Linked DNA regions of Drosophila melanogaster. The protein of the gene in region 4 purifies or fractionates together with the protein of the main gene of each other region. This does not show direct contact. Each region holds a gene or a part of one and is shown on either strand. Other genes may lie near its edges.

Region 1 (4,695 bases), on a different chromosome or scaffold from region 4:
ATATAAACTCCACCTCGCAGATCTCCGCCGTATAGAAAGTGTTCGCGCTCGTTGCGATCCAGGGCGCAAGACCACAGCATCTTGTCATGAGCGGTGAACATAGACGAGCAAAGCCGTGTTCTTATGTCGAATATCTTGATCTTTAGTTCCCGACTGGCCACAGTGAGCAAGTGCTGTGAGTCACTAAAAGCAATGTCCCGGATTAGGAGTGCCGAGGTGTGCAGGAATTGCAGGGGCTTGAAGGTAGGTGGATCAATAAAGCGTACGCCGTAGCCGGGGAACAGGTTTTGGGCACTCTTTTGCGAGGCCACCAGCATGGAGTGCTTGGCGGAATAGAGCAATACACGGCAGCCGGGATCTCGAGTTATCTCGAAGTTCTTCTCCATGTACAATCGGTAGGTGGCTAGTTGTTGAATGCTCTTCTGGCCGGATGCATCGCCTCCGAAGGCTCCCCGACCACCACCTGCCCTCACCAGCTCCTTAAGCCGTTCGTAGTCCTTCTGCAGGAGAATCAGCTTCTCAGTGGTGAGTGTGTTAGCCAGCTTCGCGGTAGCCAGCTCTGTTGTTAGAGTATGTGTACGCCGCCGCTCCGCCTCCAGCTGCTCCCTAATATCCGTGTCCAGCATCTGAATGCGCTTCGCATACAGATGACGGATATCTCTAAATGTGGCCTTCGTCTTGCACTGCGGGCACACCTTCACAGAAGATTGGCGATGGCTTTCGTTTAACCACCGCCGAATGCAGCTTTCCCCAAAGAGGTGACCACATCGCAGCGAGACCAGTCGATGCTCGCCACTCATCTCCCAGGAATCCAGACAAATGGGACAGGTCATGCCATCGTCCTCGTCATCTACAACTATTGGTTTGCCCTCGGGCGACTTTTTAAGGCTTTTATCGGCAGCAGCGGAGAGACGTTTACGTTTCTTGGGCGGTGATGGCGTTTCTAATGAGATCACCTCCTGCTCTTCGCCTTGATTGCGGCGGGAATTTCTCGGGGGACTGGGCAAATGCGGAGGATCTACCAGAATTAAAGGCGGAACTCTCGGTTGCTCGGGTTCCGCGTTCTCACCAGGCTGGTCACGTTGTTCATCAATCTCAACCGCCGGCTGCAGACCTTCAACTGGATTGAGGATTACCTCATCATCACCAGAGCTATCATCTGTAGAGGTCTCATCGGCATAAACTTCCGGATCAAGAGCTTCGGTTTCATTCTCCATTCCTTGCAGCAGGATGTCTGAATTCCGCTTTCTCGCTTCAGACTGATCGCATTCCCTGCTGCCCGATGAGTATATTTCCGGATCCACGGCGCTGTCGCCTTTTGCGAAACCTTCGCTGTCCGTTTCACCTATATATGGTCTCAATCAAGTTTTCCTCTTGGAAAACATGAAAGTTCTTGTTATTATTTTATCTATTTCGCGACTTTCCTGCAATAGGACGCTAAATTTCAAGCTAGGGATGGTCAAGATCGAGATGCTTTAGTGATGGAACAACGGGGTGAAACTATCGAGTACTACATGTAAATAAATATATTTAAATATTCATTGTTAGTGTGGACAACATATTAGTCTGAACACATTTTTTTCGTATATCAAGCATATAAAAAAAGAATCTATATAAGAGTTGAGTGTTTGTGCGGAAAATGCAATTTTTTAATTGTTTAAAATAATTATAAATGCTTTCAATTAAATTTTCACATCTATTTATTCTACCAACAAGTTGGAGTAACTTGTAATTAATCCTGTTTGTTCGTTAAATTTGATTTTCAAATTTTATTCATGTTGCTATAAACATCGATTGCCAATTAGGCTAAGCGATAGGTTTTGGGATTTCTGGAACATTCCAAAACGTTCACTCTGAGGTCTGACTTTGACGCCTCCGCCGCCATTCGTTAAAAAACTGAAATTCTTAAAAAGCGCGCATCAAGCCGGTGTAATAATTGATAAAAAAGTTTAAAAAAATCCCAGATTCCAAAGTTGATAAAAGTCATACCGCGCAGGACTGATTTAGGGGGTACAAATAACATTGGCAACCGGCGTTTCGCACAGCGGTAAAATTTGCATCAGTGTGTGGGTGTTTCGCAAAAAAAAAAGAAGCTAAGCCAGGATTTTTGGATTGCCAATTATCAAGGTGCTAGGAAAGAGGGCGTGAAGTTGTCGGTAAGCTGACCGAGTACACGTGAATTAAGTGCAACGCAATTTGCTGACTGACTAACCCGCCCCCCGTGGCCTTGAACTCGACAGACTTGGCTGCCGTCCACTCACCCACAAACACACATACGCACATATATACACACGCGCAAGCCGCTTCTACTGTCTGAAGAGAGGAGAGGAAAAGAGCGAAGAAAGGGGAAGAACGCATAAATCGGCAAGTAAACGAGCAGTGTAAGAAAGCCATGACCGAACCAAGGACGCCCGAGAAGCTGCTGGCCGCCAAGCCGCCGGTTTTACACCACAACAGCCATAGTCCCAATGCCTCGCTGCAGCTGCCCAGTCCCATCATCACGAGGCGCACTCGCACGGCCTCGACGTAAGTCCTCCTGCACTGCCCTGCCCACCCAACCAGCAAAACCACCCACCCACTACTGGCCCCACACACACTTGACCCCAAGGGGAACTTGGCCCCTATGCAGAGCCTTTATGGGGCCAAATAGGCGCCGAAAGTTCACATTATTTCACAAGGTTCGCTCTTTTGTATGAAAACCAAATACAACCTTTTGAAATAGTAAAAGAATAGCATGGAAGCTTGTAATTTCTAAAGCAAAAGCTTTCTATAATGTTTTAAACTGCATTTGTTGAATTAGATGAGCAAACATAATGAAACAAACAGTAATTAGTAATCGAACATGGAACACTTTATTGGTTCCACATTTACATTTAATATATTTATTTTTATGTGTATATACTTATAAATATTTTTATAACCGTAAGGACCATTTTTTTTGAAAGTTTAAATTTGTAAACCCCATACTTTTTCAATTATTTCATTGTACATACATACATACATTCAGAAATCAGTCGCTGCCGAATTTATAAGCTCTCGGAACCCTTTCGAACATAATCCACGTACTTAAATTCTTCCCCCTCATATCCCCATGCGCATCCTCCATTGATTAACTTGTCTCTTCCTGCTTAATTCTTTTCCCAAACGCTGCCAAAACGCAAACACGCGCAAACTCAAAATAACGCTGAAAAAACATAGCTCCGCTCGGGCCTTGGAAAATCCGGTTGTGACCGGTATGGTGAAATCCTTCAGCCGCACCAAAGGACACGGCTTCATTACACCCAACGCCGGCGGAGAGGACGTTTTTTGCCACGTTTCCGAGTAAGTGAATGAATATTGCATGCGCGGCGACCTTTGCGCTGGCTCTGTAAGACCTACAAAAATGTAATCTTCCCACAGCATCGAAGGTGAATATGTGCCCATGCCCGGGGACGAGGTCAAATACCGTCTGTGCGCCATTCCGCCCAAGTATGAGAAGCACCAGGCCGTGCACGTGCAGATTAGCCACCTGACGCCGGAGGTGCACCACAAGTGGGAGGAGCCATTCTATGGTGGCTCCTCGCCCGCTAAGTAAAGCTGAAGCTTGTGGCCCTGGGAGATTTCGAAGCTCGGAAGCGGAAAAGTGTGTTGTTAAAAGCTGAACGGCCTTCCAAGAAATTTAATTGAGCTAGAGCACGCCACCCGAGATGAACGAAACGGAAAACCGGAACAGAACAATAACCATGAAAGTAAACGAAAGCACAGCAATCGAAGCAGCCAGGAAAAAGCCGAAACCAGACCAGAACGTAATAGAATGGAACAACAGGCCTGCCATCCAGCCAGCCAGCGAGCAGCATCACAAGAGTTTCAATTGAACACTTAATTAGAATTTAAGCTAAGCTATGGAAGTCAAACAAAACGCAGTCACAAATATTGCCTTTCCCTCTGGAAGAGGGGAGAGCAACCGCAACCAGTTTCGAGTATATTATTAAAAGCGCGTATGTATTTGGAAATTGAAATTGTTATTCGAGAAGCCACTAGCACAGCGCCTGCGATGCTGTGGTGCCCTGTATCAGTAATTACTTTTAATTATAACAAAACATCTGAATGTGTTCGCGAAGCAAACAAGCAAAATGCTCTCAGTAATTCACTTTATTATTAAAACAGCTGCAAAACAATTCCATCGGTGATTTTTCTGGAGTGGCGTGGGAGTTATCAGCATGGAGTGTGTATTGTACGCACAATTGCGGTCAGCATAATAGCCGCTTGCTTGTATGTGTTCTAATAAAATTTTATGCAAAATTATTAATCTTACGTTTTTATTACGGCATCTAAATGTTCATTTTAGATATTAGCTAATGTCTGATTGTAATATCACGATATTCATAACATGGCAAAATATTGTTTTAGCCGCAGCTGTAACTTGTATTTAATTTAGTGGTGTATCTTATCTGCAGTGAAAGCAGATACTTTTTGCAGCCCAAAGCATACATGAATTTTTGGCTCACTATTGAAAATATATTTCCTGCGTTCTGCAGAAAATCGAAACCGTAACATATTCAATAAAAAAAAACCAACCTTTTTGCCACAATAGATACCTAAAGATTTCCGCCCGCTAAATTTATCAAGTAGAGCCATAAATAGCCAAACCAACTCATACTCCTAAAATTATGGATTTCCATTTCGTAAGTCTCCCGCCACTCAGTTTGAATTTCG
Region 2 (3,345 bases), on a different chromosome or scaffold from region 4:
CGGACTAACCGCCAGATCATTGTTTTGTTCAACGCCAGCATGTTGTTCATCGTCTAGTGGAAGAGTAGAGACTTTTGGTTTCTCTGGTATAGCGGGCTTTACAGGAGTTGTTGATTTATTATATTGTTCAATAAGGCCACCATCTTCTTCGTCTAGTGGAATAAAAGAGATTTTACGCTCCTCTGATAATATAGGGTTTACCGGATTAATAGTTAGTTCATTATTTTGTTCATCTTTGTTGGACGGCGGTTGGAAGTTTTCAGGCTTATCAGTAGTACGTATATCATTATCTTCCAGGTCTTCTTGTTTATCTTCAGCTTCAGAGTAATCAGAACTTTGTGCCACCATTTGTTTATCATTCGGAGAATCAGTAGTGGTTGTCTTTAACTTTAAAATGTCAGATTCCGGTTCACTTTCTTCATCGGGACAAGTCTCGCAACAGTATATGTTATTGACCTCCGTTTCATAAAAACTCCCGGGTGTGAGCAATGACGAACATCTTGCACATTTTAAGCATGTGCGATGATAAGCCCGTTTGCCGACAAGGACCCTTTCGGCGAGAAAAACAGGAAGGTTGCATTTCTGGCACTTATCACGTCGAGGCATCCCAACAATGTGCATCACCTTTTGCGGTGGCTCACTCTCTTCGCCAAGTGGCTCCTCTGGCTTCGGGTGCTTCAGGCTCTTGCCGAGCACCTTGTAAAACTGGGATAAATACGTTAGTATGGAGAGTCTATCAGGTACTTCATACGAAACCATGTCAGCTGCATCGAGCAGTGCGGGAATTCCCAAATATTTCTCGGCCGTTGTAAAGGCCAAATCGTTGTTCTCATAGATATCGTCTGCTTTAAGTCGGTCGAAATCTATAAGATCCGGCCGAAAGTGGTGTATTATGGCGCAGAAGGCAAGTCCATTTCGCCAGGAAGTGGTCATGTTCTCCACCTTGACCCCATTATATCCTTGGGTCACAACTCGGCACCAATACTCCAAAGCCTTCGTACCAGTTCCAACTTTTGTGCCACGACGATCAGACATTTTAGTGGGTTAATTGCTGGCTTATTGGCGAATATAACTAAACGAAAATAGCAGTCACAAACTGTAAACTAAGTGAACAACAAAAGCACATCGTGCCACTTGACTTGAGTAAAATCAAATAAGATTTATCTGGTACAAATTACATTAAATGTAAACAAGGCAAAACGGTGACTCAAATAAATCTCCCAATCAGATTTAGTGGTGGGAGTGTCAGCAGCTATCGATAGTTGTTTCGTGCTATTTTCCCTTCTTAAAAACAAGATGTTTAGAAAATTCTGAAATTTTTTAATTTTTCTCAGGAATGCCACACTTTTCAATTATTTTGTTGCTTGTCTTTATTGTCTTGCACTTTGCAACAGGGTGTAGTGTGAACAATCCGCTGCCAGAGTCAATCGATTTAAATCGCTAGTATCAATAGCAACTCCTTGGTTTGAACATACCTAATTTCGAGGAAGTAAACAAACAATTCTGTTTTATGTTTATTTTATATTATATTATATTTTAATATTAGTAAATTTGAAAAAATTAAAACACCAGTAAAGCCCAGAAGATTTCTGGGCTTCTGATTTAATTTCTTAAAAAACGATTATTTAGCTCAACAAAGATGAGAACAGAAAATTGCACAACATGTTTATTATAAATTAATGGAAATTAAATTAATATGTTTAAATTGCATATAAAAGGAGTAATTCCTGAAATTGGTATACAAGTTATTATGGAAGTCCACCCACCAGACTCATTTTCATCTTCATGTTTTATAGGAAATCAACTCGGCAATTACTTGGCGAAAAGTTTATTACCATTTTAAAAGTTATACACAACTATTAATTTTTGCATTGACTTCTCTCAGTGTATTCGAACAGAAAAAATTATTTCTCAATGTTATATCCGTGAAATAGCCTGGTCACACCGACGATAAGCAGTCCCGCATCTAGCGAGAATAGTTACGCCGGCACGTGTAGTTGAGTAAAAAGTTCACTCATTAACTTTTATCAACCGCTCCAGTTTGCATTTAAGAATTAAAATGGTAAGTTAAAAGTGCATTGCCCCATATGAGGTTTAGAAGACAGTTTGAAATCGAAGGATGATATCGGTTTTTCGAGAAGGTTCCACGGCTTTCGGTCCACATCCCATTCGCCGGGCTGTTGTGTAATCAATGAGAGAAACATGAAACATTGAAACATGGGTTAATTGTTGGGTCTTTTTTAATGATCCTCAGGCCGCCGCTATCAAGAAGATCATCCCCATGCTGGACCGCATCCTAATCCAGCGTGCCGAGGCGCTGACCAAGACGAAAGGAGGCATTGTTTTGCCGGAGAAAGCGGTGGGCAAAGTACTTGAGGGCACCGTTCTGGCCGTAGGCCCTGGCACCCGTAATGCCGTGAGTATTTCGCCATTATCAATGCAGAGATGGTCATCTAATCACTGAACATCCCACTTCATCCGCAGTCCACTGGCAACCACATTCCCATTGGCGTGAAGGAGGGCGATCGTGTTCTGCTGCCCGAATTCGGTGGCACCAAGGTGAACCTAGAGGGTGACCAGAAGGAGCTGTTCCTCTTCCGCGAGTCCGACATCCTGGCCAAATTGGAGTAGATCTCGCCTCCGGACACTGTCTCACAATTCTATGAATTCTATGCTTTTTATTAGTATGTAACACACCCACAAACCCGAAACTAAAAACTACAATAAAAGCTCATGCAATATTTTTGTTTGCATTGCGCATGGACCGTCATTGAATAAATTTCGAGTTACTTGTTAAAACTAGCAGCACAGGTGTTTTGTCATTAATCACATTTGTCATTTTACTCGAAAAAATATTGGATTCATTCGCGGAAAAGGTAGTTGCAGTAAATAAATTAATGATTTAGTATCAAATTTCATTCAGCAAGCAGAAGTTACGAATTATGTAACTAAATGTAAATACGAATTCGGAGTTAAAAACTAATCTAAAGAACAAATCCCAAACGATTTTACTCCCTTCAAAGTGAAAATTAAAGATTACACGTTTAAAACATACAAATATCTATATTTGAACTCCTACTTAAGGCTATGTTAATCCAACTTCAGGTTGCTCAGTCCATAGACCTGGTTAAATGCCGATCTCCGTTTGATGTCTGGCATTCCCTCCACAGCTGCCCGCTCTCGAGAGATCTTTACTAGAGCTTCAAAAGATCGCGGCTCCCAAATGGCGAGGTCGGATAGGACTTTTCTGAAAGATGTTATAGGTTGTTAAAGGATATGGGAATTTTCCGGTGGTACCCACTTGTTGAGCAGAATATCGGAGCGCGCGAGGCCCTCTTTGAAGGT
Region 3 (4,454 bases), on a different chromosome or scaffold from region 4:
CGGCGGCTGGCGGCACATACGGCGAGTAACGTTTAATCTTCTGAAAGCAGTGGATCACGGCGTTGGGCTGCAGCGTTCGGTTGAGGGTGTCTGCGTCCTCCAGCACGCGTCCGTGGTGGATGATCTCTGCAAGTGCGCAGCAAATGACTTGACACAATAGAGACAATGGACAGCGATTTGAATCCCGAGGGTCACTCACCCAACTCGCTGGCGTCGAATTGCAAGTGCATCTCTTTGGTCACCACCGCCTTTAGGTAGGCCACATCCCGCGTCAGATCGATGTTGTGTAGGGGATGCACATCGCTCAGCTTGTTCTTCAGAAGCGCGTACACGGTATGCATAGTGCGTTGATGTAGAATCTGCGTAATATTTGTAATTCACTATTTTGTCTGGGTGATTTTGTTTTGTTCAAAGACAGTTCGGAACTGGTTCCAACGAACCGCCTTGAACACAGGGTGACCCTTACATGCCCCGATAGCCCGAACCAGACTGATCGGGTCGACCGACGATTTAAAAAAGGCTAAAAAAGCTAGATCTAAAAATACCGCTCTAGGATTGCTGTCGAATTTTCAACATAAGTGTTCATTTGTTGACAATAAGAAAACGTAACTTTTGCTATTGTTTTTGTTTTACCTTGTTCAAGTCATTTCATTTAAAATGTACTGTTTTTAAAGCCATTGAAATTCAAGGTGACCCAAAATAAAACCCTCAATCCCTATCGACCTATCGATTTTTGACAGTTTCCGCTCCAAATATGTTAAATATACGAGTTGTAAAATGACCTCCCAAGAAACGCAGACTGAGGGTGAACGTAGGAGGGTAACTCTTCCATCTTCGACACCAGATAAAGGTACACCATCCAAAAAAGGCAGCGAGGAGCCCAACCGAATTTCGAACACAGAGTTCCAAAAAAGAGTAACATCGGACAGAAGCGATGAGCCGGTCTTCAGCTGCCAATTCGAAGTGTTCGGCATTGTGCAAGGTAGGGTATTCACAAATCGTATAGTCGCAATAATTAGTTATCTGGCACCAACAGGCGTTTCATTTCGAATGGTAAGAGCTTGCTGGGAAATGGGATCTTCAAAACCCCTTTGAGCTATGGATTTTCTGCTACCTCTTATTGTATATGTGAAATCTCTTTACTGTAATCCAATTACCATGTTTTAGTACACCTTGCGAAGAGCTCAAAAGCTGGGAGTCCGGGGTTGGTGCAAAAACACCAACGAGAATACGGTGAAGGGCGAAATTCAAGCACACCGACATTCCTTTGAGTCCATGTGAGTGATTTTTTCCATTCAACGTTTAATTATCAAGCCGTTCTTTTACAGGCGCCTCTGGCTAAAGCACACCGGCAGCCCCACCAGTCGAATTGACAAATGCATTTTCAGTGAGACTACAGAACTTTCAGAATTCACGTTCACTAACTTCTCCATAGTGGTGGATTAGTTGTTCTCTAAAAGCTTAAAATCATTTAGAAACGGAATTGAATTTTTCTTACACACACTTATACAGTATTTGGATATGAGCTACAAATTTTTCTATTGTTATAATATTAAATCTAACTAAAATGCAAATAAATTAGTCCGATATTTTATAGTAAACGAGCCTTAAACCATTTATGGTAAGTACATTTATTTTTAAATTCGATTGTTTTGTTAAACAAATATCGACTAGTAAGACCGCGCTTTGCAAAAGGCAGAATCTCATTGGATTGGGTGAGATAAGTGGGCCGGTGACTGGGTCGTAGCTTCTTGTTTAATTTCAATTCAATCCTCGAAGCAACAGGTTGTGCCGCATCTTTTCCATTTAATCTGTTACTCAAGTCTGTTTTAGTGTACAAGTTATCAAAAATCAATACAAAATGGTCAACACCAAGTTCTTAACGTTCAACAATGGAGAGAAGATGCCCGTGATTGGCATCGGCACCTGGCAGGTATTTATAATCACGTTAATTCTGTAATTTCATAGATTGCTTGTAAGTGGTTAAATGGATAGTAGATATTCGAATCTTAATACTATTGTTTCAACTTATTAATGACCTCAACAAATCGCTGACACGTCATTTAAATCTCTTGAAATTCCGATTCCGATGCAATCAACAATTTGGTTGGTGCTGGGGGACTTTAGACCGGTTTTCAAAAACAAACAATAAACCACCATTCATATCCACTGGTGGACTGGACTTTCTCTGGTCACGGGAGAATAAATATCGTTGTAAATCGAGTTTGAAGATTTTCGGGTAGTGTAGATTATGCAAATCCTATAATCAATATATATACAATACCACTAAACCGCACTTTCATCACCACAATGCAGGCATCTGATGAGGAAATCGAAACCGCCATCGATGCGGCTTTGGAAGCTGGGTATCGCCACATAGATACGGCGCCAGTCTACGGCAATGAGAAGGCCATCGGAAGAGTCCTAAAGCGTTGGCTGGACGCCGGCAAGGTCAAGCGGGAGGAGCTGTTCATTGTGACCAAGGTGCCACCCGTTTGTAAGTAGCATTTAGTAGTTGGATGGTATTTCAAAATGCCATATAAACATTTATAAATAGTTCCTATGTTCTATGCCCACAGAATCTTAAGATCCATAGAAACCAAAGCATTTTACACCAGCTACCAATATTCTTTTTGATATCTAGTTGATAAAATAAGACTAGGAACGTGATTTTAAAACACCAACATAGACTCCTTCAGTGTTCATAATTTCAATTTAAAAACATTTTTATTATCACCACATGACTCTTTGATATGATAAATGAACCTGATGTGAATGACTATAAATATAGCTGTGAGAGTTTTCACTATTACGAGTCCAGTTATTTCAAAAATAATATAATAATAATATAATCCTTGTTTTAGCCAACCGCCCCCACGAAGTTGAGCCAACCATCAAAAAGTCACTGGAAGATCTGCAACTGGACTATGTGGACTTATATTTGGTGCACACTCCCTTCACAATTAATATCAACGAGGACGGAAGCTTTAAGGTAGTTGTGCTACGGAATCTAATCCCAACTCCTATACACATCTCGAGCATTAACTTTCAGCTCGACAAGGAGGGCCTAATGGAGGTCGACGTTACCACGAACCACGCAGCCATCTGGGTTGCTATGGAGGCCCTGGTGGAGAAGGGTCTCACCAAGTCCATTGGGGTATCCAACTTCAGCAAGGATCAGGTGGCCCGTCTGTTGAAGAACTGCAAGATCCGGCCGGCCAACAACCAGATTGAGCACCACGTTTATTTGCAGCAGCGAGATCTGGTCGACTTCTGCAAGTCCGAAAACATTACCGTAACTGCCTACTCCCCGTTGGGATCCAAGGGAATCGCCAAGTTTAATGCTGGAGCGGGCATCGTGAGAGATCTGCCGGACCTGATGGACATCCCTGAGGTGAAGGAGATTGCCGCAAGCCATGGCAAGACGCCAGCGCAGGTCCTCCTCCGCTGGATTATCGACACTGGTGTATCCGCCATTCCCAAGAGCACGAATCCCGCTCGCCTTAAACAGAATCTGGACGTCTTCGATTTCGAACTGACGGCCGAGGAGGTGGCCAAGTTGTCTAGCCTGGACCAGAATATTCGAATCTGTGACTTTGCATTCTTCCATGGGTATAAAAATATGACTTAGCTTTAATCCCTCTATTTTATTTATTTATTTATTTTTATTTTGTTTACAGTGTGGAAAGGCATCCTGAGTTTACCTTCAAGAATCAGTACACGAACTAAACGGCATAGCTATATAAAAAGAATTCAAATGAACGCAGTAAATTCTTTTCCAAAACATTACTTTGTGTCGAAAGTATAGAAAAGCAACCATTTATTTTGTAACAGTTATAAAAAAAGTAATTACTCGCAATTCGGTCATTATACACAGATAAAATGTAGTTATGATATTTATATACAAATTCTTTACTGGTTTTCTTTGGTATTCAACAGTTGAAATGTCTTGGTTTTCGTTACGATTTTCAGCTCAACAGGTTTTCCCTCTATGACAGACTTTCCATCCGTGTTATCGTTCGTTTTTATTATACTGTCGTTAACAGTTTCGTTGACCCTTCGAGGAATCGAGCTGGAAAACCACTTTCAAATTCAAAAAAGCTTGCATTCAGCGGTAGTTAGTTAGTACAGAAATATATTTGCAAGACATTTTGTATCTAAGTTTAAACACATCACAATTTTACATTAAGCAATTAGTAGCGAGCACGATATCGGTACTTGAAGGCTTTGGAAATGTTTCGCGACTACAAATAATTCGAGGTACATTTTGTATGTAAGAACACTAAGATCGATAGAATAGATATTAAGGAGCGCTTGCTGCATAGACGGAATATTGAATAATATCATAAAAATCAATGTTCGCAAAGCGGTAAGATTAGCAACTGAGAAACGAACAACAATAGTTAAAGGAAGCTCCAGCCTATGTCTAGGTTATGATATTCGGGCCAATCTCA
Region 4 (6,941 bases):
AGAAAATAACTGTTATTGGCGGAAATGTAAAAATACGTGAAAAGAGTTTTTTTCTTTTACATATAAATAAATCAATGTCACACTTCTCATTCAACTGTAAAACAATTTTTTAGATTTGTAAGCACTCAATTTGAATGCTTTTAGTCTTAGTTATTTTATTTTTCGTACGGTAGATGGGCGTTTAGTATTTTAACCGCATCACGGTCACACTGGCGGATTTGTTTTTATTTTGGTCGCCATGCAAAGTAAACACCGCAAACTGCTGCTGCGCTGCCTCCTGGTGCTGCCCCTCATCCTTCTGGTGGACTATTGCGGCCTGCTGACCCACCTGCACGAGCTGAACTTCGAGCGGCACTTTCACTACCCGCTGAACGATGACACTGGATCTGGGTCCGCATCCTCTGGACTGGACAAGTTCGCCTACCTGCGAGTGCCCTCGTTCACGGCAGAGGTGCCGGTTGACCAGCCTGCGCGGCTCACGATGCTCATAAAGAGCGCGGTGGGCAATTCGCGACGTCGGGAGGCCATTCGCCGGACTTGGGGCTACGAGGGTCGATTCTCAGACGTCCATCTGCGTCGCGTGTTCCTGCTGGGCACGGCCGAGGATAGTGAGAAAGACGTGGCTTGGGAGTCCCGCGAGCATGGCGACATTCTGCAGGCGGAGTTCACGGACGCCTACTTCAACAACACGCTGAAAACCATGCTGGGTATGCGCTGGGCTAGCGATCAGTTCAATCGCAGCGAGTTCTATCTTTTCGTGGACGACGACTACTATGTTTCGGCCAAGAACGTGCTCAAGTTTCTGGGCAGGGGGCGTCAGAGCCACCAGCCGGAGTTGCTGTTCGCCGGGCACGTGTTTCAGACATCCCCGCTCCGCCACAAGTTCAGCAAGTGGTACGTTTCGTTGGAGGAATACCCCTTCGATCGGTGGCCACCGTACGTGACCGCCGGCGCGTTCATTCTGTCGCAGAAGGCACTGCGCCAGCTGTATGCCGCCAGCGTTCACCTGCCGCTCTTCCGGTTCGACGACGTCTACCTGGGCATAGTGGCCTTGAAAGCGGGCATTTCCCTTCAGCACTGCGACGACTTCCGCTTCCATCGGCCGGCGTACAAAGGTCCGGACAGCTATAGTTCGGTGATAGCCTCGCACGAATTCGGCGATCCCGAGGAGATGACGCGGGTATGGAACGAGTGCCGATCCGCCAATTACGCGTAGCAGCAAGAACAGGCAGGACTGAAGAGCGCTGCAGATTGTACATATATACGAACGAGACAGCACCTAGACAACAGCCTTATAAAGTATATTAGGAGCAGTGGATGATACCTCAACCGTTCAGTGAGACTTTAAACCAAGCAGCTGGTGCTAATAGTGCAAGATCGCAAGAGTAATTCAATTCTAATTGTAAGCGTAATGATAAAGCAGTTGATTCAATTCGTATATATAGAGATTATGTGCAAATGTCGGATAACGTATGTGTGGTCTGATACCTTTGAATGCAATATAAAGTTGATTAACATAGGAAAGCGAATAAAAAACTTAAAATAAATGATTGGCTTGCATTTGAGCAAAGTTTAAAATTGCCGCGCTTTTGCATGGTGTTTGTATCAGCTAGATGTGGTTCGTGTCTCTGCTAAATGAATCGTGTCTAATTCACAGTGAATGTGTTGGTTGATACATGGTGGTTGTATCAGCTAGGCGTGGTTCGTGTCTCCACTAAATGGACTGTGCCAAATTCGCAGTGTGACCATATATAATAATACCACCCAGGCCCAGTGTGACCGTGCAACCGCCCAGCAAAAATGACACAGCCACGCAAACGCGATAGTATCGCGGCCGTATAAAAAGCGGCGCTCACCGCCGAGCGCCAGTATTAAATTTGTGACGTCAAGAGCTCCGCTTCGCCACCATCGAAGGCCCAGCTTCGCCAAGTGTACAGCTATACATAGAAACATATATCAGGCCGACCCCGCCAGCATCCCAGCTTAGTAGTCCGCTTCGCCAATCCAAAAAAAAAACTAAATCAAGGTGAGTTTCATTTCTACTTGCAGATTGAAATTTTTATTTTTGTCAATTTTCGTTGATTTCGTTAAGTTTGGGGGATCGCCGGTAATTTCGTTTTTGCCATTGTAAGATGCGGTGGGGGTAATGGGGAATCCTAACTGGTTTTTGTTGACTGCGCTTCTTCGTTGATTGCGAAAATGGCAGCGGATTTGTTATAAATATTTATTGTGCTTGTCTAGTCCGTTACTTTTTCATCTTTCTCCTCGTTTCCATTTCTTTTCTGCTACTTTGTAACTTTTTTCCGCAGCTGTTGAAGCGCTTTTGTCGTCGCCCCTTTTGTTGACTATTATTTTTTGTTTTTTTTTTGTGTGGCTCAAACTTTAGATTTGCGCGTGTGTGTGTGCGAGTGCCGGCCGGCATTTTTAACTTCTTTTTTTTCCGCCGTCTGCTTGCCGCTGTGTGTATGCATGTGCATGTGCATATGTGTGGGTACTTGGGCGGGGCGCATGTGTGTCTCTGCCCAATATCCTCCCCCACAGTGAGCGGCACGAGAAAAGTGTCCTGCAAATTAATTAATTCATTTAGTGCCTTGGGTATCGCAGACTACAAATATTGCAGTCGAGGAACTTGGAATTTGAATTGTTAAAGAGGCGTTGGCGAAACTCTCGCTACTCCAAAGTAGAGCCATTTTTTAAACAACTAAGTTCGAGCACTTCTTGCTGGCGAATTGGCAACGAAAAGTGAACTGGGAAAGATAGAAAGATGGGATAGATGTACATATGCACATTTCACAAGGATGAAGTCACTATCTGTGCGACCTCGACTGTGCGATGTGTGTGCTGGCGAGTGGCGAATTGTGCTGGGCGTGGTGCTGTGTCACTTGGATATCCAATATCCAGCGATTTTGAAATTGAATATATGACTAAACGCAGCCGCCTGCATAAAATGTGTATATAATGTGCGCAACAACAAAGTGCTTAAAATTCATTGCAAGTCGCCGATTGCGCCTCCCTTTCGTTCTGTCTACCCCCCTCTCTTTCTCATTGTCTATCACTAGCTACACACACACACACACTTGTGCATTTCTGCAGGAGATGAGGGTGTAAATGCAAAGCGGACGTGTCTGTCATTTCTCATTTCCCCATCTCTCCGGCGCTCCAGCTCCTTTGCTTTGCGCTCTCTCCACCCTTTCTTCTCGCCTCCTTTTTGCACTCCGTTCGTCGGCTGTTTGCCACGCATCAGCGGCTTTGACTCATTTTATTTTACATACATATGTATGTAAGTCTGTTAAGTACGTATGTACGTGTAAATGTGCATATTCATATTCTTATTCCCAAAAAAATTTCAGTGTCTTTTGTTTTTAACGGTCTCTTGGCGCCGTCTCACTCACACCCCCGAAAAGAGCCAAAAGATTTACATATGTATGTATATCTGTTAGGGAATTAACCAAAACAGGAAGAAAGAAAGCAAAAGAAAAGCTTACAAAGTCGGGCGAAGAAGAAGCACAGCTGTGTGGGCAACGATAAATTCACCAGCAAACATATGCACATATGTACGTACATATCTATGTTTGGATGTATGCAATGTGCGGTGATTCATCAACGGCTTTTAAGCGGGACGACCATATTTCGAATTTCGAAGTTGGAAGTTGATTCACGGCGAACTTCATTGCCCCCACCCCCGTGAAAATCACCCCCTCGCCGCCCCGAATCGCCATAGCTCCCACTTTGTATGTATGCGACGTTGTTGTTGTTGTTGGCCTCTCCTTTGTTCGGTGCAAGGAGCTGACTAATAAGACACTCGTTTACACGATGACCAATTAATCGAACTTTAAACGGAGCGATCTAAAACACCATCGATCTACGTATAGGAATAGTTTCCCAATGAGTTTACATATTGAATCTTTATTGTTCAGTTGCCGTTTTCTCATTATTGGCTCATTGCTGTTATTTTGGTACCGATAAAGAATTGTGAGCAATTCAGCAGCATTATCAGAACAAAGATTGGCGGGCCAAATAATGTTGAATTAATCATCATCACTTACTGCAAATCAATTGATTTTTGGATTGGTCATAGTATTTGTATCGGAGTAAGGAATATTTGTGGGATTGCAGCAAGTCAGGCCTAGATTCGTGATAAAAGTGCTGCATGAACCGAGCGGACTACGATACGATTTTGCGCCAGGGGAAGTGGAAGTGGGGAGAGCGGGAAAATCGGCGGCCGTTAGTCAGTTAGTCAATCAACGTGATTGGCCAGCCGCTTGAGGCGCAGCTTTCCGACCATTTATGGCCATAAATGTGCAAATAAATAAATATATAGATTCGCGATGCCTTTTCTCCGCTTCTCTGCTTCTTCTCCGTTTTGCTTTTGGTGCGGTCGCTGCCCTTGTACCGATTGCATTTTAGCGCAGCTGTTCCATCGAATGCAATGCAGTCCCAATCCGACTGATGACTTGATACCAATAAGATATCGGTGCACAAAGAGGATTCTTTGTCCGGCGCAACTCTGATTGGAACTCGGGGGGCATGCTATGTGGCACGCACACTCGAATTTCGCAACTAAAAATAAACGTGATAAAATGCAGTTTAACCGCTCGACCAAGTACACATGTCTTCTGATAAGAATGCCAGTGCTAAAAAACAAAGGCCAAGAACGGCAGCAAAGCGAATTGGAGTCTTAATCTGTTTCCAGTTGGAAAGGTTCGCTGAACTCCTCGCTCTCTCCGCTCCGGACCGTTTCCTCTTTCTTTCTCCCTCCTTCTGATAGGAACACACACTAGCATGACTCGTCCTTGCTGCGCCTGTGTGTGTGTGAGTGTGTGCGTGCCTTTGAGTCATCGTTATCGCCCCACATTTCTCCACATGGCTATCGCTTGAGAAATCAACGGTCAACAAAGAGATATTACGTTTCTGTTTAAAGAAAATGAATTATTTATTAAGGCGCAACACAGTATCAACAAAAGCAAACAGTGAAGAGCAACAAATTGTCAATCGGAAAGTTGGCTTCCCCTTTCTCACCAATAACATCGATATCCTCTTCCGGCTTGGCTCCAATTGGATTTGTTGTTTCTAACTTGAAATGTTTACATAGGGAATTCGTTTGCTTTTCAATTGTTAATAAGGTAACAAAAAGGCGATCCAAGCCAAACAGTAATTGTAACAGTAACTTTTTGTATGCTTCGTTTGTTGTATTCCTTAAATTCCTTTTTCCCATGAACTATTAATTTAGTATCAATATTCTTTAAGACTTTGCTATCTAAGGTGAAACCACTATCATAATTCCCATATCAATTGGTTGTGTCAGCAAACTGAAACGAAGATCTTAACTAGTGATCGATCAGCAATTAAAGCTACAAGAAAAATAAATGATCCCAAAGAATAGATACGTTTACTATCAAGGCAAGTAATTTAAAATTCATCAAAAAACTTTATGTGTTCAGATGGCCGCCCCAGCACCAGCACTCAAGGATCTGCCCAAGGTGGCCGAGAACCTGAAAAGCCAGTTGGAGGGATTCAACCAGGACAAACTGAAGAACGCTAGCACCCAGGAGAAGATCATTCTTCCCACCGCCGAAGGTGAGTTGGCTATTGTTGGTTGGTGAAAGGCCGAAACCATGAACACCGAAATCTAATCCCCCTGACTCACAGATGTGGCTGCCGAGAAGACCCAACAGTCGATCTTCGAGGGCATCACCGCTTTCAATCAGAACAACTTGAAGCACACGGAGACCAACGAGAAGAACCCGTTGCCCGATAAGGAAGGTGCGTTCATTGTAGGCCATCTAGTATGTTGCATATTGTACATACATATGGTCCGGCCATAAAAGGCAGCCTGCCTTAGATGGCCAATGCAGGCTCTATAATTGTGTTGTTATTTCTCTATTTCTCAACCTCAAATTGCAGCCATCGAGCAGGAGAAGGAGAAGAATCAGTTCATCGCCGGCATCGAGAACTTTGATGCGAAAAAGTTGAAGCACACCGAGACCAATGAGAAGAACGTGCTGCCCACCAAGGAGGTGATCGAGGCCGAGAAGCAGGCTTAAAATGGGGGCTCCAATGTGGTCCACTCCGATCCGAGATCCGAGATCTGAGATCCGATCCGATCCGATCCTCAGTCACCCCATCTCTCTTTTTCGACTCGCCGCATCTCACTCTTTATACGTATAAAGCTATTCCCTCTCATTTTTCAACTGCTACCAAGTTATTCGAACCGCTGCGCATGCGCGTGATAGCAAAAGTATTTTACTATTATCGTATTTCGGTTGTCCGTTTTTTTTTTTTTTGCAATATTTTTACACATATATATATATATTTTTTGTATTAACAAGCAAGAGAGCCAGTCTCATTCCTACAGCGTAATTAACATAAAATAAACATTCGTCTATCCCATATATATTTGTGCATAAATGTTTCCAAAACACACGACAAACACACACATCATCATCGGAGGAAGAATAAAACGCAGATACAAAGCAATACGACAGCCAACTCACTCAGAACATTTACACAAGAAAAGACAGCAAATATATGAGAAATACTTTTTAAAAGACACGCAAAACGTATGAAGCGTATAAAACAGAAAAACAAAAAGAAATACGGTAGAAAAGCATCTATATAAAGAGTATGTGTAATTTTTTAATGAACTTTTTTTTATATACTTTACATACGATATATTTATACTGGGAAAAATAAAAAAAAAACATAAATGTAACATTTTATAACAAAAACGTACTAAAACTGCACCGACTTTTGCTTTCTTCGGGGGCGGAAAACTCTCAAACAATAAAAGAAACACAAATGGTTGTAATACGGGAAGTATGAACTCTTGATTCGTGGTAAATATACAAATATTTGCTTAAATCAAAGACACTAGAATAACAAGATGCGTAACGCCATACGATATTTTTGCACACGATTTTTTTTTATTTATTCTATCGTCT

Evidence for each region.
Region 1: the proteins of cib (region 4) and CG9705 purify together in Drosophila melanogaster (affinity purification with mass spectrometry, with the first as the bait; one large-scale study listed by BioGRID). This does not show direct contact.
Region 2: the proteins of cib (region 4) and CG11267 purify together in Drosophila melanogaster (affinity purification with mass spectrometry, with the first as the bait; one large-scale study listed by BioGRID). This does not show direct contact.
Region 3: the proteins of cib (region 4) and CG2767 purify together in Drosophila melanogaster (affinity purification with mass spectrometry, with the first as the bait; one large-scale study listed by BioGRID). This does not show direct contact.

Annotation. Positions count from the first base shown.
Region 1 is NT_037436.4:16,778,265-16,782,959, forward strand, and holds CG9705 (uncharacterized protein), read left to right. Parts: upstream 1-1,835; 5' UTR 1,836-2,156; exon of another isoform or gene 2,157-2,240; 5' UTR 2,241-2,392; coding exon 2,393-2,526; intron 2,527-3,198; coding exon 3,199-3,321; intron 3,322-3,399; coding exon 3,400-3,574; 3' UTR 3,575-4,155; downstream 4,156-4,695. Other genes in the region: mus302 (mutagen-sensitive 302), read right to left, coding at 1-1,217.
Region 2 is NT_037436.4:13,014,103-13,017,447, forward strand, and holds CG11267 (uncharacterized protein), read left to right. Parts: upstream 1-1,947; 5' UTR 1,948-2,059; coding exon 2,060-2,062; intron 2,063-2,254; coding exon 2,255-2,416; intron 2,417-2,484; coding exon 2,485-2,631; 3' UTR 2,632-2,801; downstream 2,802-3,345. Other genes in the region: MICAL-like, read right to left, coding at 1-1,035; mRpL20 (mitochondrial ribosomal protein L20), read right to left, coding at 3,091-3,247, 3,302-3,345.
Region 3 is NT_033777.3:8,005,375-8,009,828, reverse strand, and holds CG2767 (uncharacterized protein), read left to right. Parts: upstream 1-1,718; 5' UTR 1,719-1,861; coding exon 1,862-1,933; intron 1,934-2,316; coding exon 2,317-2,497; intron 2,498-2,864; coding exon 2,865-2,992; intron 2,993-3,052; coding exon 3,053-3,612; intron 3,613-3,680; coding exon 3,681-3,729; 3' UTR 3,730-3,905; downstream 3,906-4,454. Other genes in the region: CG3223 (uncharacterized protein), read right to left, coding at 1-126, 200-341; CG11052 (uncharacterized protein), read left to right, coding at 778-982, 1,037-1,053, 1,168-1,277, 1,329-1,446; CG2698 (uncharacterized protein), read right to left, coding at 3,913-4,072.
Region 4 is NC_004354.4:4,104,248-4,111,188, forward strand, and holds cib (ciboulot), read left to right. Parts: upstream 1-1,865; 5' UTR 1,866-2,026; intron 2,027-2,587; exon of another isoform or gene 2,588-2,680; intron 2,681-4,701; exon of another isoform or gene 4,702-5,123; intron 5,124-5,247; exon of another isoform or gene 5,248-5,262; intron 5,263-5,441; coding exon 5,442-5,577; intron 5,578-5,649; coding exon 5,650-5,763; intron 5,764-5,904; coding exon 5,905-6,044; 3' UTR 6,045-6,389; downstream 6,390-6,941. Other genes in the region: brn (brainiac), read left to right, coding at 239-1,216.